7 linked regions of the Xenopus tropicalis genome follow. The protein of the gene in region 3 interacts with the protein of the main gene of each other region in a pairwise test. Links are inferred from orthologs where the notes say so. Each region holds a gene or a part of one and is shown on either strand. Other genes may lie near its edges.

What was found.
Region 1: the proteins of siah1 (region 3) and atn1 interact in a two-hybrid assay, tested with the Homo sapiens proteins (2 studies listed by BioGRID and IntAct). The link is inferred for Xenopus tropicalis from reciprocal best matches to the Homo sapiens genes SIAH1 and ATN1.
Region 2: the proteins of siah1 (region 3) and inha interact in binary tests that used the Homo sapiens proteins (3 or more experiments, as listed by UniProt). The two-hybrid records come from large-scale screens. The link is inferred for Xenopus tropicalis from reciprocal best matches to the Homo sapiens genes SIAH1 and INHA.
Region 4: the proteins of siah1 (region 3) and ube2k interact in binary tests that used the Homo sapiens proteins (3 or more experiments, as listed by UniProt). The link is inferred for Xenopus tropicalis from reciprocal best matches to the Homo sapiens genes SIAH1 and UBE2K.
Region 5: the proteins of siah1 (region 3) and tmem43 interact in binary tests that used the Homo sapiens proteins (3 or more experiments, as listed by UniProt). The two-hybrid records come from large-scale screens. The link is inferred for Xenopus tropicalis from reciprocal best matches to the Homo sapiens genes SIAH1 and TMEM43.
Region 6: the proteins of siah1 (region 3) and upp2 interact in binary tests that used the Homo sapiens proteins (3 or more experiments, as listed by UniProt). The two-hybrid records come from large-scale screens. The link is inferred for Xenopus tropicalis from reciprocal best matches to the Homo sapiens genes SIAH1 and UPP2.
Region 7: the proteins of siah1 (region 3) and numb interact in a two-hybrid assay, tested with the Homo sapiens proteins (2 studies listed by BioGRID and IntAct). The link is inferred for Xenopus tropicalis from reciprocal best matches to the Homo sapiens genes SIAH1 and NUMB.

What each region holds. Positions count from the first base shown.
Region 1 is NC_030683.2:9,482,384-9,486,510, forward strand, and holds the start of atn1 (atrophin-1), read right to left. Parts: upstream 2,801-4,127; 5' UTR 2,488-2,800; intron 1-2,487. UniProt on the Homo sapiens protein: Transcriptional corepressor. Recruits NR2E1 to repress transcription. Promotes vascular smooth cell (VSMC) migration and orientation. Corepressor of MTG8 transcriptional repression.
Region 2 is NC_030685.2:84,993,279-84,997,218, reverse strand, and holds inha (inhibin alpha chain), read left to right. Parts: upstream 1-1,146; 5' UTR 1,147-1,392; coding exon 1,393-1,606; intron 1,607-2,232; coding exon 2,233-3,134; 3' UTR 3,135-3,440; downstream 3,441-3,940. UniProt on the Homo sapiens protein: Inhibins and activins inhibit and activate, respectively, the secretion of follitropin by the pituitary gland.
Region 3 is NC_030680.2:74,034,912-74,039,177, reverse strand, and holds the start of siah1 (E3 ubiquitin-protein ligase SIAH1), read right to left. Parts: upstream 2,801-4,266; 5' UTR 2,592-2,800; exon of another isoform or gene 2,451-2,591; intron 1,134-2,450; exon of another isoform or gene 1,099-1,133; intron 1-1,098. UniProt on the Homo sapiens protein: E3 ubiquitin-protein ligase that mediates ubiquitination and subsequent proteasomal degradation of target proteins.
Region 4 is NC_030677.2:36,220,661-36,224,876, reverse strand, and holds the start of ube2k (ubiquitin-conjugating enzyme E2 K), read right to left. Parts: upstream 2,801-4,216; 5' UTR 2,690-2,800; coding exon 2,627-2,689; intron 1-2,626. UniProt on the Homo sapiens protein: Accepts ubiquitin from the E1 complex and catalyzes its covalent attachment to other proteins. In vitro, in the presence or in the absence of BRCA1-BARD1 E3 ubiquitin-protein ligase complex, catalyzes the synthesis of 'Lys-48'-linked polyubiquitin chains.
Region 5 is NC_030680.2:132,943,348-132,946,847, forward strand, and holds part of tmem43 (transmembrane protein 43), read right to left. Parts: intron 2,939-3,500; coding exon 2,804-2,938; intron 2,364-2,803; coding exon 2,269-2,363; intron 860-2,268; coding exon 810-859; intron 563-809; coding exon 493-562; intron 1-492. UniProt on the Homo sapiens protein: May have an important role in maintaining nuclear envelope structure by organizing protein complexes at the inner nuclear membrane. Required for retaining emerin at the inner nuclear membrane.
Region 6 is NC_030685.2:73,782,897-73,786,354, forward strand, and holds the end of upp2 (uridine phosphorylase 2), read right to left. Parts: intron 3,192-3,458; coding exon 2,982-3,191; intron 2,806-2,981; coding exon 2,659-2,805; intron 2,036-2,658; coding exon 1,896-2,035; 3' UTR 501-1,895; downstream 1-500. UniProt on the Homo sapiens protein: Catalyzes the reversible phosphorylytic cleavage of uridine to uracil and ribose-1-phosphate which can then be utilized as carbon and energy sources or in the rescue of pyrimidine bases for nucleotide synthesis.
Region 7 is NC_030684.2:106,105,818-106,108,087, forward strand, and holds the end of numb (protein numb homolog), read left to right. Parts: coding exon 1-615; 3' UTR 616-1,770; downstream 1,771-2,270. UniProt on the Homo sapiens protein: Regulates clathrin-mediated receptor endocytosis. Plays a role in the process of neurogenesis.

The sequences.
Region 1 (4,127 bases), on a different chromosome or scaffold from region 3:
ATATACCATTGTTTGTCACGCCGGCACGTACGGGCCTCTCAGTGTGCCACTTCCATGCGCAGACTGGCACCTCACCTGCACAGGTACTGCCCTCTGGCACTGTAGCACCTACACATGGGCACCCTGCCCTACTGCATATCATTGCAATGCCCAGAGCTAGTGGCATATTAAAGCATAATGTTATATATAGTGTTAGTAATACTGTTAGTAATACTGTCCCCCCCCAGCAAAGCTCCAGTGCTGCCCAATAAATACCCATCTGCACCCACCAGCGGGCACCACTATATCCATATGTAACAGCACGACTCCCCCACCATGGCCAGAAGCGATGCAGCAGAACCAGCACAAAATAACCCACACCAGTCCCCCCCCACTGGACGCATCAGAACCCCCAAATAGCAAGGAGAACCCCCAACAATGTCTTCATCGTACTCCAACAGCATCTCAGAATCCCCACACTGGGCCCACTTGTGCCTTCCAGAAGCCAAGGGCTACAACTTCTAGCATCCCCTCAGTGAGGGTGCTGGGATGACGATGCTGGGAGTTGTAGTTCACAGCAGCAGCTAGCATCACTGGGGGGGGGGGGGCGCTGAGGTTGCTGGGAGTTGTAGTTCACAGCAGCAGTGAATATCCCTCGGGGGGGCTGAGGTTGCTGGGAGTTGTAGTTCACAGCAGCAGCTAATATCCCTCGGGGGGGCTGAGGTTGCTGGGAGTTGTGGTTCACAGCAGCAGCTAATATCCCTTGGGGGGGCTGAGGTTGCTGGGAGTTGTAATTCACAGCAGCTGCTAGCATCCCTGAGGGGGGGGGCTGAGGTTTCTGGGAGTTGTAGTTCACAGCAGCTGCTAGCATCCCTGAGGGGGGGCTGAGGTTGCTGGGAGTTGTAGTTCACAGCAGCAGCTAATATCCCTCGGGGGGGCTGAGGTTGCTGGGAGTTGTAATTCACAGCAGCTGCTAGCATCCCTGAGGGGGGGGCTGAGGTTGCTGGGAGTTGTAGTTCACAGCAGCAGCTAGCATCACTGGGGGGCTGAGGTTGCTGGGAGTTGTAGGTCATAGCAGCTGCTAGCATCACTGGGGGGGCTGAGGTTGCTGGGAGTTGTAGGTCATAGCAGCTGCTAGCATCCCTGAGGGGGGGCTGAGGTTGCTGGGAGTTGTAGTTCACAGCAGCAGCTAATATCCCTCGGGGGGGCTGAGGTTGCTGGGAGTTGTAGTTCACAGCAGCAGCTAATATCCCTCGGGGGGGCTGAGGTTGCTGGGAGTTGTAGTTAGCAGCAGCTGCTAGCATCCCTGAGGGGGAGGCTGAGGTTGCTGGGAGTTGTAGTTCACAGCAGCTGCTAGCATCACTGGGGGGGATGACAATGCTGGGGGTTGTAGTTCACATCAGCGCCAGGACTGACAGCTTGACATTTTGCCATCAATACTAACACAGCAGAGTCACACAAAGTTTCTGCCAATAGGTTTCAGTGAATTAAGTGCAAGCTCCACAGGTTAGACATTCAGCCTCCTACCCACACACTGAAGTGCAAGCTCTGGGGGTTAGGGGCCACATCTGGCTCATTGCTCTATCCCTCCCCAGCCTCCCCTTCTCCCTCTCTGTACTGCGCAGCTGGGTATGTTAGCGCTACAGGGGGGCAAGTCATCCCCACAGGAGGGGGGGTGTGAGTGTGAGTGTATGTGTATGTGAGTGAGTGTGTGTATGTGAGTGTATGTGTATGTGAGTGTGTGTGTATGTGAGTGTGTGTATGTGAGTGTGTGTGAGTGTGTGTGTGTGTGTGTGTGTGTATGTGAGTGTGTGTGAGTGTGTGTGTATGTGAGTGTGTGTATGTGAGTGTGTGTGAGTGTGTGTGTGTGTGTGTGTGTGTGTGTGTGTGTGTGTGTGTGTGTGAGTGTGTGTATGTGAGTGTGTGTATGTGAGTGTGTGTATGTGAGTGTGTGTATGAGTGTGTGTATGTGTGTATGTGAGTGTGTGTGTGTGTATGTGAGTGTGTGTGTATGTGAGTGTGTATGTGTATGTGAGTGAGTGTGTATGTGAGTGTGTATGTGTATGTGTATGTGAGTGAGTGTGTATGTGAGTGAGTGTATGTGTATGTGAGTGTGTATGTGTATGTGTATGTGAGTGTGTATGTGAGTGTGTATGTGAGTGTGTGTATGTGTATGTGAGTGAGTGTGTATGTGAGTGAGTGTGTATGTGAGTGAGTGTGTATGTGAGTGAGTGTGTATGTGAGTGAATGTGAGTATGAGTGTGAGTGTATGTGAGTGAGTATGAGTGTGAGTGTATGTGAGTGAGTATGAGTGTGAGTGCATGATCAGTAGGTATAGGCGCCCATGTCACACTGTCAGTTCCCGGCAGGGAGCATATACACGCATGTGAGTGTGTGAGTGAGTGTGTGAGTGAGTGTGAGAGTGAGTGCATACGTGTGTGGGTACATCCGTGTGAGTCTGTGCGATTGTGTAGCAGAAGGATCGCGATGCAGCGCGGAGTCACCCACCTAACAAGGGAGGGAGTCCGGTCCCGTAAGTCTCCGGTAGGTGCGTTAGAGAGGCAGGCGGGGAGAGGCTGTCAGTCCGGGGCCAGGCGGCGGCGGCAGACGGGTAGGGAAGCCGGAGCGGAGCATTGTGCCTCAGGGCGAGGGGGGGAATAGGGGGGAATAGAGGGGGGGGGAAGCGGCCGCACAGCCGAACAGGCGACAAGGGGGGAAATAAGATTTTTTTTCTTTTTCTCTTTTTTTTTAATCCGTTGTGCAGAGAAAATCCTACAAAAGAGGAAAATTTTTTACCTCCTCTGCCCCCCTCCCTCCTGCACTGCTCCCTCCCTCCCCCTCCTGCTGGCTCCTCCCCCTCCCCGGGCACCGCCCTCTCTTGCCTCTGTCTGTCCCTTCCCTCCTCTCTCTCTCATTCCTCCCTCTCCTGCTCTTCCCATTAGATGTGAGGGGGGAGAGAGAGCCAGACAGTCAGAAAGGGAGAGAGAGTGAGGGGGGGAGGGGGTAGGAGACAGACTTCTGAGCGATTTCATAGCTGGTGGGGAAAGTTCTCCCTCAGCTCTGTGTGTGCAAATGGCTCCCCCAGCCTATGTGGCCCTGTGTGTGTGCAAATGGCTCCCCCAGCCTATGTGGCCCTGTGTGTGTGCAAATGGCTCCCCCAGCCTATGTGGCCCTGTGTGTGTGCAAATGGCTCCCCCAGCCTATGTGGCCCTGTGTGTGTGCAAATGGCTCCCCCAGAATATGTGGCCCTGTGTGTGTGCAAATGGCTCCCCCAGCCTATGTGGCCCTGTATCTGTGCAAATGGCTCCCCAGAATATGTGGCCCTGTATCTGTGCAAATGGCTCCCCCAGCCTATGTGGCCCTGTGTGTGTGCAAATGGCTCCCCCAGCCTATGTGGCCCCTGTGTGTGTGTGCAAATGGCTCCCCCAGTCTATGTGGCCCTGTATCTGTGCAAATGGCTCCCCTAGCCTATGTGGCCCTGTATCTGTGCAAATGGCTCCCCCAGCCTATGTGGCCCTGTGTGTGTGTGCAAATGGCTCCCCCAGCCTATGTGGCCCTGTATCTGTGCAAATGGCTCCCCCAGCCTATGTGGCCCTGTGTGTGTGTGCAAATGGCTCCCCCAGCCTATGTGGCCCTGTGTGTGTGTGCAAATGGCTCCCCAGCCTATGTGGCCCTGTATCTGTGCAAAATGGCTCCCCCAGCCTATGTGGCCCTGTAATCTGTGCAAATGGCTCCCCCAGCCTATGTGGCCCTGTGTGTGTGTGCAAATGGCTCCCCCAGCCTATGTGGCCCTGTGTGTGTGTGCAAATGGCTCCCCCCCAGCCTATGTGGCCCTGTGTGTGTGTGCAAATGGCTCCCCCAACCTATGTGGCCCTGTATCTGTGCAAATGGCTCCCCCAGCCTATGTGGCCCTGTATCTGTGCAAATGGCTCCCCCAGCCTATGTGGCCCTGTGTGTGTGCAAATGGCTCCCCCAGCCTAATGTGGGCCCTGTGTGTGTGCAAATGGCTCCCCCAGCCTATGTGGCCCTGTGTGTGTGCAAATGGCTCGCCCCAGCCTATGTGGCCCTGTATCTGTGCAAATCCCCCCTATGTGGCCCTGTGTGTGTGCAAATGGCTCCCCCAGCCTATGTGGCCCTGTGTGTGTGCA
Region 2 (3,940 bases), on a different chromosome or scaffold from region 3:
TGTAGGCCAGACCGGGGGTGAGTGTAGGCAGACTGGGGTGAGTGAGTGTAGGCCAGACCGGGGATGAGTGAGTGTAGGCCAGACTGGGGGTGAGTGAGTGTAGGCCAGACCGGGGATGAGTGAGTGTAGGCCAGACTGGGGGTGAGTGAGTGTAGGCCAGACCGGGGATGAGTGAGTGTAGGCCAGACTGGGGGGAGTGGTGGCCAACGGGATGAGTGTAGGCCAGACTGGGGGTGAGTGAGTGTAGGCCAGACTGGGGGTGAGTGAGTGTAGGCCAGACTGGGGGTGAGTGAGTGTAGGCCAGACGGGGGTGAGTGAGTGTAGGCCAGACCGGGGGTGAGTGAGTGTAGGCCAGACCGGGGGTGAGTGAGTGTAGGCCAGACCGGGGGTGAGTGAGTGTAGGCCAGACTGGGGGTGAGTGAGTGTAGGCCAGACTGGGGGTGAGTGGCAGCTGGGGAGTGAGTGTAGGCCAGACTGGGGGTGAGTGAGTGTAGGCCAGACTGGGGGTGAGTGAGTGTAGGCCAGACCGGGGGTGAGTGAGTGTAGGCCAGACCGGGGGTGAGTGTGACGCAGTTGGGCAGCTGGAAGTATATTGCAATTGTATTTAATGCTCCGACTTTTCCCCTTTAAAAAGCCTTCAAATATGTCATCTATTTGTTGAAATTCCCTTTGCACCAATTTCACAAACGAGTCTCTGTGCTCGGAATTCTCTCCATATTGTGCAGAAATACACTGAATACGCGGCCGGTCCCTGGGCCGGTGATGGGGACGTTCGGTAGCCGCGCTCCATCTGGCCAGTGCTATAGAGACATGGAGCCCAGACCCTCAGTAAGGTGGGGTTGCGCTTGGCACTGATGGGCACGGAGCTAAATTACCCGCGTGGGGCTCATTGTTCATCATCCTCCTTGTTGAACTACAGTTCCCAGCATCCTCCGAGACCCGACTTGCACCCCTTACACCCGGTGTTGGTAGGAGCACCTCAAGGCCTCGGCAGATGGCGGCGTGGGTGTTCCCGTGTGAAACGGCCCTGGGCAGCTTTGTCTCTGGGGCACATTACATTCCAAGCATCTACTGCAGATAATGCTCCGTGTGTGCCCAGCGCCTGCTCCGTGCCAACTCTGATAACGGACAAAAGACCCGTCTGTAGGAAGACAGAGAGACATCCACACACAGGCAGAGACATCCAGAGAGAGACCAGAGTTCTGATATTCAAGGGGAAGTAAAGAGTAGGTGAAGATTTCCCCAACTGGGCACCTGGAATAATTGCCAAGGAAGAAGAAAACCAAATATTGAGGGTATTGAGACCCCATCAAGCTCACAATGACCTTGCTATTTCTAACATGGCTTCTGCTGGTGAGCCTGAAGTGCCCTACTCTGGGGCAAAGCTGTGACATGCCTGAGGGAGATCGCCAGCTTCTTCTGGCCAAGGTGAAGGAGCAAATTATAGAAGCACTTGGGTCACCTCCACCTCAACCCACCAATTCCTCCCCAACACCATCTGCTTATCTTGAGGGGCCCGTGCAGAGAATGCTACACAAGAGGCACAGCAAGAGGCATCAGGACAACATGGAGGATGTCTCCCAAGTCATTCTCTTCCCTTCCTCAGGTAATCATGGGTGTTTAATATTTCATGGGTGCCATGGTGGGTTCTTGCCAAAGGCCAAGAGGTTAGAAGATCTAGGGTGGAGAGGGTAGTGGTGGAACTGGAGACCTTAGAGTAGATTCTATAGGTTAGAGCAGAGATGTCCAACCTGTGGTCTTCAGCTATTGTCCAACTATAACTCCCACATCCATGGACATCCATGCTATTGGGGCCCAAGTACCTTCAACACCAGGGGATCCAAATGAGCTTTGGGAATTAGCTTTGTGACCCAAAAATTGACTTTTTTTTTTCTATTCGGCCCATTAAATCGGAACTAGCACCCAAATTAAAAAAAAACTTGATTATTGGACATTTTGGGGACTCCTTGGTTTTTGCATTGATAAAAGGAATTGCTGTGAATACAGTTTATCCATTACTGTTGGCGCTGTTCTGTTTCTGTATATGGAGGGGACTGGATACTGGTAGTGGTGAGAGGTGGTACTGCAGGCCACACAGTCTTTTTTTAAACTCCGCCCCCAAGAAGCGGTAGAATTCTGCATGACCATGGGAAGGAGAGCAGCTCAGGGAGAATGAGGTGCCTGGAATGGGGGAGATTCCTTGTAGAGCTCATTGGGTGCTTCTTGTTTCAGATGTCCTATGTGAAACCACCCAAACTGGCGCCAATGAAGAGGGTTCTGAAAACAGCTTCACCTACGTCTTCCGCCCTTCCCCCCACATCCGCACCCGGAGGGTCTCTGCAGCTCAGCTTTGGTTCTACACTGGCCACCCCGCCGCTGAAGAATCTGCCATGTTGAAAAACGTGTCCAGTTCTATGTCCGACCAGATGGGCGTTGAGCCAACGTTGGAGACTTTGGGCTCGGATCAGCTGCCCCCAAGCACTGGAGCTGCCCAAAAGCCACACGCGGTGACCGCTGCGCCCTTGGACGTGGCTACAGAGGTTGCAGACACTGTGGGACATGCAGTTGACCTCCAGGTGCTGTCGGAACATGAGCCGGTGACCGTGGCCACCACCAAGGTGCAACGTGTGGACGACTGGACCGTCTTTCACTTGGCCCCGGCTTTCCTGAACCTCGTCACAAGGGAGATATTTGTGCTCCTGGTTCACTGCCCAACGTGCCCATGTTCTGACCAGCCTGAGCACACCCCATTCATCACCTTCAGCACCCACCCCACCCAGCGTAACCGTCGCTCTGGGGTGCCTTGGTCCCCCTCTGCTCTGGAATTTCTGCAGAGGCCCCCGGAATCCGGAGCCGGAAGTGATCACTGTCACCGCGGTTCCCTCAACATCACATTTGAAGAACTGGGTTGGGGCCAGTGGATTGTGCACCCCGGCAGCTTCCAGTTCCACTACTGCCATGGCACGTGCTCGCCTACCCACGGCCTGACTCCAGCCCTCCACTGGGGGCACTGTTGCGCAGCTCTGCCCAGCACCATGAAGTCACTGAGAGTCACCACCACAACCGACGGAGGATTCTCGTACCGATATGAGACCGTCCCCAACATACTGACCCAAGACTGTGCCTGCAGCTGAGTATTAGCCAAGGAGGGGCTCAACTGGCCAAGTCCAAATGGAGACGCTTCCTGATACCTGGAATATTCTACAGAACTCCAGTGTCGGCTGAAGACCTTGGCTCTTATATTTCCCCTAATCCTTTGCACTAAGAGAACCAATACAACAGCTCCCACCCTGTATAATAAATCTAAACAGATAATGATACATACAGTGTAATAGTGAGGATTTGGGGCCACTTGTTGCCTTTCGGAGAATGGAGGTGACCGGGTTCATATAAAAAGTTTAATAATTATTCTGCCATTCAAATAAAAATGATATTTGGCACAAGGTCTGTTATTGGGTTGTGCTGTGTGGGGAACAGACTCAGCGGCTAGGGTATCTTTGTCTATGGGTATCTATGTCTATGGGTATCTATGTCTATGGTTATCTATGTCTATGGGTATCTATGTCTATGGGTATCTATGTCTATGGGTATCTATGTCTATGGGTATCTATGTCTATGGGTATCTATGTCTATGGGTGTCTATGTCTATGGGTGTCTATGTCTATGGTTGTCTATGTCTATGGTTATCTATGTCTATGGGTATCTATGTCTATGGGTATCTATGTCTATGGGTATCTATGTCTATGGGTGTCTATGTCTATGGGTGTCTATGGGTATCTATGTCTATGGGTATCTATGTATGTAATGGTAAAAGCCCCAGCTCCAGACCCAAAGGGTTTTTTCCTGCACTTTCCTGGCTGCCATCTTTTAAAATAAACCAAACTAAAGATGGGGTGTTGGCAGATCAGGGGCATAGTTAGGTGGGTCAGGGGCAGCTGGC
Region 3 (4,266 bases):
AATACGCTCAGGTGCAGGCACACGTTGAGTATTTCTACCTAAAACTGTGTTTATTTCAGAAGTGGATCCGCTCCCTTATGCACCTCAGTAAAACTGCATTGACAAGTGCAGCTTCCGCCTCTGCCCAGCTACACAAAGTAGAGCAGAGTAAGAATTGATCTGAAAATGCGAAACCAGAAAAAAAAAAAACTCAGGCTAAGAGCAGGAGAGGAAACACTCTGTGTACCCTCAGCCTAAAACATGGCCAGCCCTTTCCAACTTTACATATAAGGAGCTCTTTATTAAACAACCTTCTTCCTTTTAAGAGATTAACAAAAACAATATATAATCTTAAGTAAAACTAGGAATGCACTGAATTGGCTACTTTTAGCAGTCTGGCCAAAATTAATCTGGTGGAGAAAATTTGCCTTGTACACGAAGCGTGCACACCGGTGTTTCCAACTTCATCTTTGGGAACTTCCAGGTTTGGGTGAATCCATACCCAAGAATTAAGGGATTCGGACGAATACCAAATTGCTAATTTCCATGCATCCCTATACAAAACACTAGGCAAATAGTTAATACAAACTCACTGTAAACAAAATGGAAAAGGGCACCAGAAGAGAAATACATTTGAGAATTAATATTGATTATTCATAGTTCTGGAGTTTTCCAGGTTAAGGGGTGTTTTATCACTATGAGGCACCATGGCCTTATGTTTAAAACACTTTAAACATTAAATAACTAATAGAATTGATTTCCAACATGGATTTATGCTAGCTTAAAATCAAGTAACAGTTATAGTCTTATTGCAGAGGAAAGGCAAATCCATCAAAAGTGAGTAACCGTCTGCTTGAGGAGGAAACTGTGTAATGTCAACGCTTTTAGAATAATGGGTATCCAAAAAATAGATCCCTTACCTCAACACAACTTCCTACCCACCAGCTCTAAGAAATGTATTGCTTTTTGTAGCTTCTAAGCTCTAAAGCAAAAAATATTTTCAATACAGCATTAAAAAAAAAAAATGTGTTAGCAGCACCATTTTGCATCTCATCTTTATCACTTAATCTTTAAAATGAGCTGCATAAGGAAGAAGAGATATACAATAAAGGTGCGTACCCTAATGAAGCATGTATCCGAGTGCTGTTGAACAGACAATCTAAAAACAGAGGATTAATTCATTAAGCCACAAATGTTGCATCATTTATAGTAATTAAGCAGCATCACAAACAGTAAACAGAACAATCACCTATAAATGAAATCATTTGTGCTTCCTCAGTTACAACAACTCCAAGGCTATGACCGGATGCATCACACTTAGCGGCTGCACTGATAACTCTTGCTATCGAAAGAGAGGGTATAACCACTCAACAACTGAAATGTTTGTAAAGAAAAATTCCTTTACATCGCAAGAACTCAACATGAATACCGCTGTTTTCGACATGTGGGCAGGAGTACTAGGATACTGTGCATTAGGTACATCATCATCATCTCTTACACTTAAATCCGTGCTATTCCCAGGATGCAACTCTCATTGGATGTTTTGGAAATCATGTGTTTATGAAAAATAATTAATTATGAGAAAGAAATTAAGGGTGTCCGCTTAAACCCCTCCTCTAGTTGTTAAACCATAATAAGCAACAAGGAAATAATGTAAATAGGTGTACAACTCCAGCCAAATGTTGGGAATTGTAGTACAAGAGCTGGGGGGGGGGGGATTCATAAATGCCAGGATTCACAACACAGCAACTATCACATGTCACTACATCCACAAAAAAAGCATTGTCTGCAACAAGAAGCAGCACCCCCTTGATTTGTACAATTGAACGGAAGGCAGCTATAGTGCGAGTGATTTCTCTCTGGGGGGGGGGGGGGGGAATTAGGACACAGATCAGGAAAGGGGGAGGGGAAAACACACAGGAGGGATTAGGCCACAGGCCTTGGTTTGGCAACAAGACAATAACACTAGAAGCAACAATACAGGCTGCTACATAGGCAGGGACAATGACCGGGGTTAACAAATGGCTGATGATGCGGTTAGGGTGTGTTGATTATTTACATTAGCCAGACAGAGCTGCCAGATTGCCACTTCAACACCGAACACCCATAAGGTGCAAGTGCAGCAGGGCTGATGATGCAATGTGGGAGTATTTGACAGAAGGAAAGAAAGAGCAGAAACCCACAGCAATGGGGCTGCCATGTCATACCATTATAAGCAGACACCCATATAATCCTTTTGCCAACATTATTTGCATAAAAAGCCACAAAACAAATAGAGAAAGGTCGGGGTCTGCAGCAGCCAGCCACTTTCTCTGTATGCAAACATATGTCATAGCCACACGTGTAGGAAACATCCATTAACCCTTCCCCCACATACACAGCAATATGGGCTCCCCCACCCCCTCCTCCTGCCGTGCATTATCCCATGGGCGCCTGAGAGACAGGATTTATACACAGCGTCGGAGTCCAACCTGCGGCCCTCCAAATGTAGCTCTACCATAACTCCCAGCATCCCCGATCTGCATGGTACGACAAAAGCCGAAGGGCCGTGGCTTAGCTATCCTGGCTCCCGATGCAGTGTTGCCATCTCATAGAACACGGGCCGCGCTCACCTTCCCCAGGAGGGAATCCGCTTTGCTATTATGCCGCTTCCTGTTCGGCTTCCACTGTGACGCACCAATTATCGCACTCACAGGATACCGGAAGATAGGTCACAAAATCCTTTATCGCCGGTAAGACGGCTCCTTTACCGGGTCTGCTTCCCACTCCTTATCTCTGTGGAGCTGCCGCCGTCCCCCGTACTCCGAGTGCGCGCACCCCCCCTACTTCCACAGAAAGACACTGCAGAGGGAGCGAGCGTGCGCGGGCACAAAGAGTGGCGTCACTGCTCCCGCGCTAACACGGCGCGCTCCCGCCACGGATTAGGCTGCCCTCAGATGGTCGAGCAGAAAGCCACGCCCTCTTGCGTATACCACGCCTACCAACAATTTGCACGGGTAAATGGCAATTGTTTGCTTGTTCTGCTGTAAGAATCTATATACTCTCTCGGTCGTCGTTAGCAGATGCCTGCCAACCTTACTGCTTTATGGAACAAATGAACCATTGAAGGGACTTTCGATTCATTATTTTAAGTTAACTCTTAGCGTAACGCAAAAATAATAAAAAAAAACGGGACTGAATTAGTATCGTGTAATACATTTTTAAGGGTATTTCAATAAGGTGCAACATTTGGTCGGGGCCTTAATCAAAGCCACGTTTCCAGTAATATCTAAGACAGTAAGCCAGTGACTACTTAAAATCCCACCCTAACTGATCTCAAGGAATTATTAGAAGAGCAAAAAGACATCTGTCCCAGTTGGGCCCTAACTGGCCCTCAGGCCCTGCTCACTAGGGAAGCCCCATAGTTATAATATGGAGTTGACATCACTGACCATGTTTTTGCAATCAATGGTCTTAATGTATGTCTTGTGTATCTCTCTCTCTCTCTCTCTCTCTCTCTCTATATATATATATATAGATAGATATACATATAATATATTGCAAAAATAACATCCTTTTAGGAAAAAATGTTTTTTAGGTCGCCTGAAGAAGTGCCGGGTTAAAAGAGCACAAAACGCACCAGCACGTTGTACGTCTCACATGCACATGTGCCAAAAATATTAAGCAGTCTAAAAAAAATGGTATTCTGAGTGCCAGAGGCATGATGGAGAAAGGTGTTCATAATGTCAACAATATGGAATCAACATTATTCTGTTAGAGTAAATAAAAGAATAGTCCAAGACAAATTAGTATTTACAAGCAGCAAGCACACTGGTTCCTAGGAAATTGAAAAAACCCTCCACCAATGAAATGGGAATGGATACAATCAATAGAAGAAACAAGGAAAATGAAATTTACCCCAATAATGTCATAAACATATAAGATAATTGGGAAATTTGGTTCCCGTTGTTGCCAAATTTCATATGATTCAAAACTAACTAGACGAGGAGTGTGTATACAAAAATCAGCAACAATTTTACTTCAGTGGAGCATCCCCATGTAATATATTGCAAGATTTTAAACCTATGATAGAAAAGAGAATACCATTTAATAGCTACTGCTTCCTTTGTATTTGGCCTATTTGACAAAGTGCTATTATGTTGGAGCTTTCCTTTGGTTTGAAGGTATAACCATATATCTATATACTTTGAGTATATAACATAGTGAAAATTAAATTAATGTACCATGACTATATACAGTAGATATAAAAAGTCTACACACCCCTGGTAAAATGTCAGGTTCCTGCAC
Region 4 (4,216 bases), on a different chromosome or scaffold from region 3:
AAAATTACTTTAGAGTGTTATTCCCCTTTTAATAATTTACCAAATTCCAATAAATACACCAACAATAAAGAAAATGAAAATAAAATAAGGGGATATATTTTTCTACTAAGAAGTCAAGACAGCTTTTGTGGCTGCTTGTAGCCATAGCTGGACTTATCTATTTGCACAACTTGAGCAGACCCTCGTCAAAAAAAAAAGCAATGTGTATTACTAAATATCACTTAGTATCACTGAGATATTATGTGCATTCTAATCCAACTAGCTGCACCAGGTTCAGCCTAATAAAAGGTTCAGAATTTAAGGTGTCCATACATAGGGCAAATACTGGCTGCGATTCTTGATTGAGTCAGCAGGCTACTGACCCATCTGGCAGATCAAATACATTAGCCCTATGTCCAGGGCTAGGAGCTTCTGCTGCTCATGGAGAAAGTAAAATTGCAGAAATGACCACTAAAAACCTCTGGTGAACACTGCAGCTTAAGCTAAGTGAAGACAAACGGGGTGTAGTGCTGCATGTTATGATACTTTCTAAAAATCTTTTGTGGCCCTTGCTTAACCTAAAATAAATGGAGGACAAAGAAGAAATAAGCAATTACTTTATAACATTAGAAAATGTGTATTTCTTAATATGGTGAGCGATATTACTAATCCTAATTTGTAACTGCAACAATTTTTAGATGCAGCTTCTCAATGAATGGGCAGCACGCTGTCTCAAATGAAAGTTTCTCCATAAAGTGGCAGGAGGATATGCGGCAATGCCAGCCTTTGATCTAGCGCACACGAGAAAGTTACAGTTAACAAATTTGCACTCCACTGTTTCACAGAGTTACCCAGTGATTATGACCAGAAGCCACATATTTACCAAAGATTGAATCTAGAAGTCATCATAGTCTGCAAGAGTGAAATTCTGCTACTCTTTATACATTAATATGAAACTTTAGAGGGTATATTTATCAATACATATAAATGAGTTTACACTTTGATAAATATGTTTTCACTAATTGAATAGAAATTAATATAATGAGGGAAATTTCACTGTGGCTGACTATGGCAAGCTGTAGTTTAATACTTTGATAAATATCCCCCTTTGATTTCATTTCTGAAGTTTCACTGAATGGATTTCAAGGGCCATTAATAAGGAGAGAAAAAGTTGGAAGGGAGAGCCAGAGGGAACTGCAGTCTTTTCTACACAACTGTCCTACTTTTCCATGTCTCTAATACAATCCTTTAGTACCTTCTACATGACTCTAAACACTTCTGCAGCCCCACTCTATGGCAGTCTCTAATAAACTCCTGTCAAATCGTTCCAAGGCAGTCCCTAATACACTCCCATAAAAAAAACTCCATGGCAGCCCGTGATACACTCATGTCAAACCTATCCCTATCAATCTCTAACATACTTTTGTAGTAGTGATGAGCGGGTTGACCCACAACCTGCATTTTACCCTTAGGTCAGGCAGGTTAGGGTTGGGGGGTGTTGTGGGTTCAGGTTGGGTGTGGGTCAGACTAGGGAAGCACCTCTGCTCCTGAACTTTCCCTTCCTTGGAACCTAAGGCGAGAGCAGCAAACAATGTAGAAAGACGCAAGTACGTGTTTTAAATGCAAATCCTATATCGGCAACAATTTGTGGGATACGGTCAGTTGCAGGTTGACTTTTTCCTGACCCCCACACCACTATCTTGTAGTCTCTTCTGCAGTCCCTTTCCATGGCAGTCTCTACACAATCCTGTAGTCTCTTGATGGCAGTTTCCAATTCACTCCTATAGTACCTTTCCACGGCAGTCTCTAATACACTTCTGTAATTCTCCTCCAAAGCAGTCTCTAATACACTTCTGCAGTCCCTCTCCAAGGCAGTCCCTAATACACTTCTGCAGTCCGTCTCCAAGGCAGTCCCTAATACACTTCTGCAGTCCGTCTCCAAGGCAGTCCCTAATACACTTCTGCAGTCCCTCTCCAAGGCAGTCCCTAATACACTTCTGCAGTCCCTCTCCAAGGCAGTCCCTAATACACTTCTGCAGTCCCTCTCCAAGGCAGTCCCTAATACACTTCTGCAGTCCCTCTCCAAGGCAGTCCCTAATACACTTCTGCAGTCCGTCTCCAAGGCAGTCTCTAATACACTTCTGCAGTCCCTCTCCAAGGCAGTCCCTAATACACTTCTGCAGTCCGTCTCCAAGGCAGTCTCTAATACACTTCTGCAGTCCCTCTCCAAGGCAGTCTCTAATACACTTCTGCAGTCCCTCTCCAAGGCAGTCCCTAATACACTTCTGCAGTCCGTCTCCAAGGCAGTCTCTAATACACTTCTGCAGTCCCTCTCCAAGGCAGTCTCTAATACACTTCTGCAGTCCCTCTCCAAGGCAGTCTCTAATACACTTCTGCAGTCCCTCTCCAAGGCAGTCTCTAATACACTTCTGCAGTCCCTCTCCAAGGCAGTCTCTAATACAGTCAAGTAGTCCCTCTCCCTATCAGTCTCTAATACACTCCAATAGTCCCTCCCCATGGCATGCCTGGCTGTGGCAGCCTTCTATACTACCTCTTTAGAGCAGTTTACTGGATTTATCTTAAGCACACTGTCACCAATTGTTGCCCCTCATTGTATATAGCCAGACGCACTTCTGTCTCCTCTCACCTCTTCGCTTTTGAGCACCTCCTTGAACTCCCTTTTGATCCTCTGTGCTGCGATGTTCGCCATAATTGCCCCAGTTTCCGTACTTGACTGAGTCACCTTAAATTGCTGCAGTGCACGTTAAGTACGCCAGGCTTCCTCCCTCCGTGCAGTGCCGGCCCTGTGTGCTCTGCCTCCCCCGCCCCGCACAACGAAACCTAGCACAACAGTACACTGCAAAATGGCGAACCTGACACATGCGCAATACAAGAGTCTGGGCGGCCCACAGGAAGAACTTCCTGACAGGGTCCCTGCTCACGTCACTTTGGCCCGCCCCACAAATGAGACGTAACAGCGCGCCACAGAATCCCCGGGCTCCATTCATGCAGGGCTCAGTCACGTGATGTGTCACTGGACCCCAGCGCTAAACAGAAGAGTCGTGCAGTGTTGTAAAGTTTGGCTTTAGCAGCAGATTTCTATGAAACCAAAGGTCGTAGCCTGCCAGAGCTATGCAATTCTTATTAGAGGATGGGCTGACTACCTGCCCCTAGTAAGCATTTGTCTCAGCAAAATAGATATGCCACAACATGCATTAGTCACCTGACTCGTATTGGAAATCCAGAAGTTCCTGCTTAGTCTGCTGTATGGGAACTTTTTGTTCTCTTCCTTTTCAAAAGTCCTATGACTGGTCATGACCTACATCTGTTATCTAGAAAAAAAATAAAGCAGGGGCATAACTACAAAGGAGGCAGACCATGTGGTTGCAGGGGGGCCCTGGAGTGTAGAGGGCCCAGTAAGGGCCATGACACATAGGGAGATTAGTTGCACCACAACAAATGCCATCCCGTGGCATACACGGCACTGCGATATGCCGAAGTCACCGACATTTCCTCTCAAGGCGACTTTGGCAAATGGCGGCGCTGCGTATGCCATCCTACCGCTGATTTACATTGTAGCCGGTGGGATGGCATTGCGGGGAGATTAGTCGCCCGCAACAACAGAGATTTGTCATGGCAGCTCTAATCTCCCTGTATGTCACGGCCCTGAATAGTGAGCAGTTTTACTATATCTTGATAGGATAGGTCAATTTACCAACGATTTGGGCCCCTAAATTGAATTCTTTTGGGACAAGTGACATCTATTCATGCCACTGGTTGTGTGCATTTTCCTAAGCAGAGATGCTATCTGGATAATATAGCAAAGGCCAGCCAGTTAAATGATACATGCCACTACAGTTATTAAAGGACAAGGAAAGGCTAATACCTTGGGTGGTGCCAGTTACTTAAAATAAATGCACCACCAGAGATACCTTGTGCCTCGATTTGAATTCTATATCTGTATATCCATAGTTCAGTTAATTTTCTGGCTTAAAGGGGTGCTGCTCATCCCAAAAGAAATTACCTTTAAATAGTAACACCTTTTACAATGTGTCATTATGGCTTAATTTTGGCGGAAAATTAAAAGCCACCATTCTTAATTTAAAAGGTATTTTCAAATGCTTTAGAGACTTGGGACTGATTATGTGACATAAAGTCTTTATGATACCATAGCGGTCATTCTTGACCCCAGGGGACAAAGTGCAAGAGCACTAAAGGGCGCAAGAGTGGCTTTAGA
Region 5 (3,500 bases), about 59 Mb from region 3:
AAATGAAATTTTATGACAACACATTTATTGTTCCACCACTTTTTTAACATACAAATCACTGTTTGCCCCACTGTTTCTCCACATCTCACTGTAGGCATTCCGTAAGCTTGTTAGCCACTGGGGTAAGAATATACAGAACAAAATGTGCAGATTCCCAACGGAGGTCACTTGTCACCCTCAATCAAAAGAAAAGAACCAGAAGGATTTTAATTTGTCTATGGTGCCAGGAAATTTATATATTTGGTAAAACTAAATCCAAACCCTCAAGCACTTCTATCTTTTCGTTGATGACACCTTGTCTCTACTGTAACTTATTTAATGAGTATAATTAAGGAAAGGGAGTACCCTTATCTCCAAAGAATACAAGTCTCCTACAATACAGTAGGCTATTAGATCAGCATGTAGCAAGAACAGACAATGAAATATAGATAACAAGTGGATTTGACTTTTCCAATGATATTTCTGTGGTTTTGTAAACTGTGTGCCACTCACCTGGGATTCTGATGCGCAATCTCTCGATCAAAATGCCTGCTGCTCACAATTTCCGATCGCCATTCAGTATCTAGGAAGTACAGTTACTTAAATGTCATTTTACAAAAAGTAGAACAAGGGTAGGCAATTAAATCATTATGTATTCTTTCTAGGCTTTTCAGCATTAAAGAGTATAGTTTGCCACTAACTTAAGTGTAATGGCAACAGATTAAATAAGGAACAAGCTTTTTAAATCCCATGAAAATAGTCAATGGCATTAGCCACTTTTACTGGGAGAAGGATTTGTTATTTCTATTCTAGTTTTGAAAGCTACTCACTGTAGGTGTATCTTGTCTCTGTTTTCTGTTCTCCATTTTCTTCATACTGTCTGCAAATATGAGTTTTACAAAGTTGAATACAACTTAATGTAATATGAATGATGTTAATAAAAAATATATGATAATATAGTAATGAGCACATTTTGTCACCCGGCATGGATTCACAGCGAAATTCTGCATTTAGCCATTTTTTTTAGCCAATTTTTTAGGCAATTTTTTTTCACAAAACTCCACCAAAAATTTGCTGTGGCAAAAAGTTCACAGAGAAAAAATGCCAATTGACTTTGTATTTGGAATCAGAAAAAAGTTGAGCGCATGAAAAGGTGCGGGAAGAAGTGAGAAAAAACACAGACTTTAATGCATTTGGAGTTAGAAAAAAACTGTGCACATGAGAAAAAAAATTGTCACACGTAAAAAATGTGTTACCAATTCACTTCAATGCATTTGGCAAATTTCTTGCTGTTTTGCAAAATTTTCAGCGAAACACAGATTCGTTCATCACTAATATATATAATAACGAATAATATTATATATACACATATATTTTATGGACCTAGGAAGTCACCACTATTTGCATCCCCACACTAATAAAGACTGCTCTACCCAAAACTTTTGAGTAGAATTCCTATAAAGCTTGTAGCTGTGGATAAACTGCAATACCCAGAATATTCCAGCAGGAGGTGCTGCAATTCAGCAGAAGGGAATCTGCAATAGGGTAGGTGATTTCTAGTTAACACCTGGGTTGTTTATTTTACATGAAAAAAAGGCCCAAAATCTTTTTCAAAATAAATTCATATTTATATAGGTGTGACATGCAAATGTAACTGCCAGTTTGACAGTAAATTCTGTTTGTAAAAACTCTGGTGTGCCTATTCAAAACTGTGTATGTCAGAAATATCTCTCACATATTCGAAGTAACTATTTCAACTTAAATTATATGATATGAACGAATTACTAAAATAATTTCAAGTAGTTTTTATGCTGGGCATATATAGGCTGATACAGCGGCATAACAACGACACGCGGCCCCCACCTCGCAGAAAACAATCTTCAGAGGGGCCCAGCGCACACCTACCCAGCCCTCCTTTCACCCGCCGCCAGTGTTCCCTGCTCCCCGGCCACTCGCGCCAAGTAGGTAGGGGGGATTTCTTAGACCTATAGAGAAAGCAGAGCCTGTGGTCTGGGCCCCCCTGCAACCTCAGAGTCTGCTTTCCTCTAGAGTTACACAACTGAGCTGATACAAGCTGAAGACTTGGCACATCTAGACCAAGTTGACACATAATTGACCTGCGTTTGGGGTGATTGGGACTGCTTGACCAATATCTGGGTGAAAATCAAGAAAAGTATCTATCTGGCAGGTTTGAAAATCCTGTTGGGCAAGGACCCCAGAGAAAAAATATAAGTATATTTCAAATGTACAATGTTGATCCAGGGTCCAGCAATGAAGATAGAATCTTACCTTGATTCTTCATATTCAATCCACTGGTACATTTCAACCTGACGCTTCAGCTTTACACAATGAATGGAAACGCCATAATTTGGATCATACAATGGCTACATGGGGATAGGGAAAATAAAACCGAAGGTGTATCAGTACTGCACTGTCCTATAGGTGTAAGGAGTTTCTAAAGTCAAAACATATCATTACATCAAAAGATAAGCAGCACAGAACATGAGATTTTATATAGATGCAAATGGTGGCCATCTTGCAGCACAATTAGCAGTAGTGCACAGACTCTGTGTATGTTTATTACACACCTGAATACACCGATACCTACACTAGAAATAAAAATCAACACAGAAAAAGCAGATTTCTCTTTACTTATGCAAGAAACAGTGGAAGTAGGGCAGACTGACTAAAATGTTCAGTATGAGTTCTCCAAACCAGGTACGACACACCAAGGTTATAGAACACAGCTTGTCACTATTTTGCCTTCCTGGTGAAGTACTGGTTATACTGGTAACTAAAGTTTAATTTATATGCTAATGACTACCTTAGAAGTCCGAAGTGCTCCAGACAAATGCACCAGGTTTGCTTCATTTTGATGGTCTATTGAGTGGATGTTGCCCACTGGAACAACAATGGAGAGCCCTTCATCAAGGGAAGTTGCTGTCTGTACAGCTCGGCCCTGAGAAAACAAGAAAGAGATTGGCATTACCAGATACAGATAAGGGACTGATAACAGAACATACGGTAGAGCAGTGCTAAGTACAGGGGTGTTTCAGCCCCTAGTGACACCCTGAGGCAGCCTAGGGGATTCTGCCCCAATTGCCCCTCCGCACTTAGGTTTTTTGTGTTGGAGGGGGCCACATCGGTAGTGCACAGTGCGCAATAGTGCTCTCTGCACTAGGAAAGATGAAATTTCAAATTAAAAAAATCGGAATTTCGGCTCTTGAAGTTACCAGGAGTGGCTTTTTGCCAGCCCTGGTAACTTCAGGGGTACTGCTACCTGAGATAAGAGAAGGTTTGAGGTTTAGGATCAAATTCTTTTTTACAATCTCTCTCTCAGTTGCATCATGTTATTGATCCAGCATTAAAAACATACACTATGATACAACACTTTTCGTGGGTCCACGGCTGTACACCAGCCAAGTGTTAAAGAGGATCTATGATCACAGGGCAGTAAGATGGATTCCTGCCTTGTTATGCTGGGGTCTTAAATTGATTCTGGCCCAGGCACTATCTACAAA
Region 6 (3,458 bases), on a different chromosome or scaffold from region 3:
AAAACAAACAGTTGGTTTGCAGGGAATCATCAGGGAGGTGTGACACCTCCCTCTCCCCACATGCATCAATGGACGGCATTGCTCAACTAGACTTTATATACTGCATAATGTACCCCCTATTGTAAAATATAAGGATAGAGGTATTCTGTGACCATATAAAAGCATGAGGCCGAAGGGCGAGTGCTTTTATACAGGTCACGTAATGCAGAGGTGACCTCTAACATCCTGATATTTTACACCAGGGGTACTAATTAAATACACACGTTTAAGTGAGTCATGTGACAGAAATTATGTCACTAAGCACCATTTGATGACATCACTAAGCACCGTTTATACAGGATAGTCATGGCTTTTGTGTATTATATTACTATATTTTATGAAATGTAATCATTGTTTTGATAACGAATCAGAGTAAGTCCTGTTTTAACTACTGATTGGTCTTTGTCTTTGGATTCAGGACAGTTCTACTTGTATTATAAACAGAAAGTGGACTCATTGACTTACAATTGGAAATGTAATAGAATAAATACAAATTAATGTGGGAAACATTAACATCTCAGTAACCTTAGAGAGCAATTGAACAGTTGAGAGAAAGACTCCTCTTTAGGCACAAGCTGGCCTGGCGCTCAGTTGAGCTGTTGTTAAGCTATAGAGCTTATAGTGTCCATCACAGAGGACAGTTAAATGGATCCTGCAGCTGCTGTGGAACCCAAGGCAGTCACCAAGGGGTCTGACCCCCAAGGCCTGATATGCACCATTTAGTACCAGTCAGTATGTCACAGTGAGACCCCTTATACCCCTCTCTACAGGAGCCAAAGTGTGGATGACAGCCCTGGCAGAACCCATTCTGGAATTACTTTTTTTCAGCATGAAGCCTGGCTGGGCCCCAAGATGCAGATTTTTATGAATGGGTCTGTGTCGCAGATCTTAAGCTTGTCTTTGCTGAGAGGACTTGTGATTTTAGTGAAGCTGTAGCACAGGAAGATCAGATCACTTGAAAATTTAGGGACATGTCTAGAAAATCCAGTCAGCAGGGCTGAACTGATTGCAGTTTAATTTACAGGTGATCAGTGCTGTCCTGAAACATTTTTTTTTAGAAATGTCCCTGAATTTTCAAGTGCTCTGGTCACCTTATTGTAGGAGCCGTCGATGATCAAACATCTAGCCAGTTATAATGATTGCACTTCCAATAAGGTCATGTCACAGGGGAAAGGGGGGAGTGTCATTTACTGCATCAAAACCCCAATACTGCAACGTTTAAGCTTACTAACGAGGGTTAATGTTAGTCTTGTCTTTTTGATTACTCAGCATGGAAGGCAGGCAACTGATCCTTAGGCAACGTGGCATGCAAGACCAGTCCCTTGCTTAGAGCAGTCAAGCATAGGGTGACCAGATCACATAAAAATTTAGGAACAAGTCTAGAAAATCCAATCAGCAGGGCTGAACTCATTGCTGTTTAATTTAAAGGCAATCAATGCTACCCAGCAACATGTATTTTTTAGACATGTCCCTTCAAGTGCTCTGGTCACCTCAAAGCAAGCAAAGATTGCCATGTTAGCCCAATGCTTGCATTAGCCTTTTTAGATATTCTTATTCAATGCATCTTGCTGGCAGCTTGCTTCTTTAATTCTTCCTCCTGGATTACTCCCACCCCTTTAATTATCAAGCCAATTGAAAAAAAAAAAGCTGTTTGAAAAGTTCCTAATGGCACAGGGATCTGCAAATATTTACCTGCATTGTGAAATGGCTTCAATAAAGGGTTAATTAGAGCAGGCCTATGGCATCATAAACAGCCCAATAGCGTTAGACCTTTATGTATTTTTGCGTAGAATTATTTTTTTTTCTTGCACCAATTCAAGTCCATAAGGAGTCGTAATCATTGGTGGGAGTGACTTTTAACTTAAGTTCAGTTGTTTCTTGATGTACTCTGCGATCAGCTGCTGGGGGCGCTTCTGGTATTCTATCAGCGTGTCGTGGCTTTCTGCGATCTGGTCTCCTTCTAGTCTGTTGAGGAGCGTCACGCAGACAACTGCAGCTGGAACAGGAAGGGTTTCTATAGGTTACTTATGTTTTTTTTTTTCTATACAAAGCACCGTTTTCTAAAAACAATCGGTTTCCCTAAAGCAGAATGTACAGCACGGCCTCCCGAGGGCACAGATGTTCTTTCCAGACTCCTGTCGGTAAATACATGTCTATATAGACAACAGGAGCTGACATATTGCTTACCTAGCCTCATGAACATAATCTGAAACCACACTATCCATGTATGACCACTAGGTGGTGATGTGGAGAAGGCCTAAGGAAGGGCAAACTGGCTGTTGCTACTCAGTTAAGGTGACCAAAGCACTTGAAAATTCAGGGACAAGTCCAAAAAATACATGGTGGGGGAAACTGATTGCCTTTAAATTAATGTTCATGGATTTTCTAGACGTGTCCCTGAATTTTCTCTGGTCACCCTATACTTAATAATAAAGAATTGCCCTGATCCATCTAACGATGTCTATTTGGAGAGCAAGAATGTTAGTGGACATATTAAAGGGAAAATAATGAAAAGATGAAGCTACAGAATATTTTGCCTATGGTTTTGGCAGCTAGAATATGGGTTTGCAGACAGAGACCCATTCCCTGGCAAGCAATGCTTCAATGCAAGCAATATACCTTTAAGCCCACAGAGTTGGCACATTGCAGCAAACACAGTCGACTCCATCTCTATGTTGCGGACTCCTGCAGTGAAAGCTCTCTGAAGATACTCAAACTTTTCCTCTTTAGAGAATGAGCAGAGTGCCCCGTCCAGTCGCCCCTGACCTAAGGAATAAAGGACTGTTATACAGACCACATTTCTTCATACAAAGCAATGATTCTCGACTGCCAAGAGCCTGATGTCTCAAGCAAAACAAAACCATACGCTTATGATCACACAACAAATGGCTGTAACGGAGAAGCAATGCTCATACTCTTCCAAAACACATGTATAATGGTACCTTCATAAAAGTCGTAGGTGCACATCGTGTGGCCGATAATCGTGGGGAAACTTGCAATCTCCTTACTGCACTGCAGCAGATCTTCAGCGAGCTCTCTGTGAAGGTCAGTGTTTCTAACAACCACTTTGTCCAGAACAACCTGCTCAAACTGAGGCCGGAAAAATGAATCCACTGCTACGTCTGTGATCACCACTGTCCCGGGTTCAATGCCTGTAAGAGACGGAAACAACACATTGCGTAAGCAGCTTGTCATTGGGTTAGAACAAATCTCAAATCCAAACGTGGGCTAGATAAGAGCATGGAATAGGGCCTTTCCCATGATTCCACCCTGGATTCCATGGCTTCTGTTAGTTGGGCATATAATTCAGTTTAAATAAGGTGCCTTGCTGTAATATGAAAAATGATGAGGTATTTATACAAAAACTGAGAAAAACTTACCAGAAATGGTGCCAGTGGCCTTCTGGAATTGTTATTGGC
Region 7 (2,270 bases), on a different chromosome or scaffold from region 3:
GAAGTATCCAAAACAATCATGCAAAGACAGTCTCCAGTTCCTGCAGTCCCAACTCAGCCTATGGTACAACCTGCCCTTGCCGCACCACAGCCTAACCAGCCTTACCTGGCCAATGCTTATGTGACCTCACAGTCTATGCCTGTCTCTGTTGTCCCAGGTCTGCACCCTCCCTTCATGCCTGTGCAGCCACCATACTCTGTAGCCAATGGAATGAGCTACCCAGCTTCCAGTGTTCCAGTTGTTGGCATAACCCCTTCTCAAATGGTAGCTAATGTTTTCGGAGTTGCAAGTCCACAGGTATTCCAGCCTAAGCCATCTCCAAATTTAGCCACACAGCAAACCTATCCAACTTATGAAGCATCCAGTGCATCCAGCAGTCCATTCTATAAGCCTCCTGCCCAGCAACAGAATGGCTCTGTTGCTTTTAATGGGGTTGAAAGTAGTGGGTGGGAATTGGGCGCTAAGAGCCAGCAAGCTCCAGCTGCCCCTCCTCCTGTAGACCCATTTGAAGCTCAATGGGCAGCTCTTGAAGGCAAATCTAGACCACGTGCAAACCCATCTCCTACAAATCCTTTCTCTAGTGACCTTCAAAAGACTTTTGAAATTGAACTATAGAGTTGGACTGAACAAGCAAACAGTCTCTGTGAGGAGTAGCAGTGTTTTAAGGATTCCAAATCTCTTCTTGCAAATCCATCTCTTTAGAATTACACATAAAAGGACCAAGAGGGGGGGCATGAAAATTCCATTGGACAGTAACTGCAATGGAGGTCTGTGGGAATATTAAGAATATCCATCCCCACAGATCTCATCTACCCTGCGTTGGCACAGAAAATCAGAGACGAACCTGGACAGTGGTCATGGCAAGGCGGGAGTAAAACTGGCCGCCCACTGGAGATATGACTCTCTGCAGAACCACTGCAGTGCCTGAGCTTCCATATTGAAAGATATGTGTAAATATGTATGGAGACTGAAAGGGGGGTGGGGGGGAAATGTTTAACTGCCTTTTATGCCAAAGGGGGCTGGAGCACACTGTTGAGTATTGCATTGCAGCCCGCTCTGGCAGCAAAGGGCTCAAGCCAAAATCTTTATTTTTATGCATTACAAATATTTTAAATAGCGTGGGTTAATTCATAAGTTTGTAAGTAATCTTGCCAAAGGTTAAACGAAGCTGGAAAGTTCAGTTGTCATTAATTGTATATAAGATTTAGCTGCTATTTCCTAAAGAACTGGACTGGCTGTGGTTTTATTTTCATGCGCTTTAGGCCACCTTCCTTGTATGTAGCACATTGCTTTAAACAATCACGACCAAGAGAAATATCTCTATTATACTTTTAATGAAAGAGCAGTATTGCATGGTGTAACAGCCATAGCGGACTATTTTCTTTCCTGTAATCCGATATTACACAAGAAAGATATATATATTCTCTATATAAATGTTTCTTTTTGGCATACCGCTGGAGTTTTTATATATGTATACTTATATATATTTATATATTAATATATATGATTATATATATTAATATATATGTTTTAGACTTTTAATACCACTATGATCTAATGCACAGAAGACTTTATTTCATTCTCATTATTGACTTTCACTGTTTCTGTAAATTCTTTTCATTCATAGTTTTATTTTTTTTATTGTATACCTCAAATCATCCTAAGCACACACTCTCTTCTTTATGTGTAAATGTTGGTTTCGCATCTATGTGTATATTTGTACTGATTTACAGTCTTCTTTAACAAATAAATGTTGGTGGTGGAAAAAAAGCTTCTTTTCTTGTGGTTTTCTTGTGCTTGGCCAATTGTAGTTTTTTTTTTTTTGTTTTTTTTTTTACTTTTCTGTGTTAAATGTTTTTTTGTTTTTTTTTTTGTATTAAATCCGTTTATTTTCAAAAAGATAGTAAAGCTTCACATTATACATTTATAGCCTTTTACATTCAGACAATTTTGTTTCCACATTCTTTACATCTTATCTATTTCTAATATAGATACCTTAGAAAGAGGCTATCGTATATGTTGAGGAATAGAAAGGAATGAGGGAGGGTAGGGGTAGGACTAGGTAATGATAGAGGAAAGTAAAGATGAGTGGAAAAGAAATAGAAAATACAAGAAAGATATAAACTACAGAAGTGGTGCGGTCTTCCTGTGTTAAATGTTATGCTTTAAAGCAGTGATCCCCAACCAGTGGTCTGTGAGTGACATGTTGCTCACCAACCCCTTGGATATTGCTCCCAGTGGCCTCAAAGCTTATTTTTGAATTTCTGGCT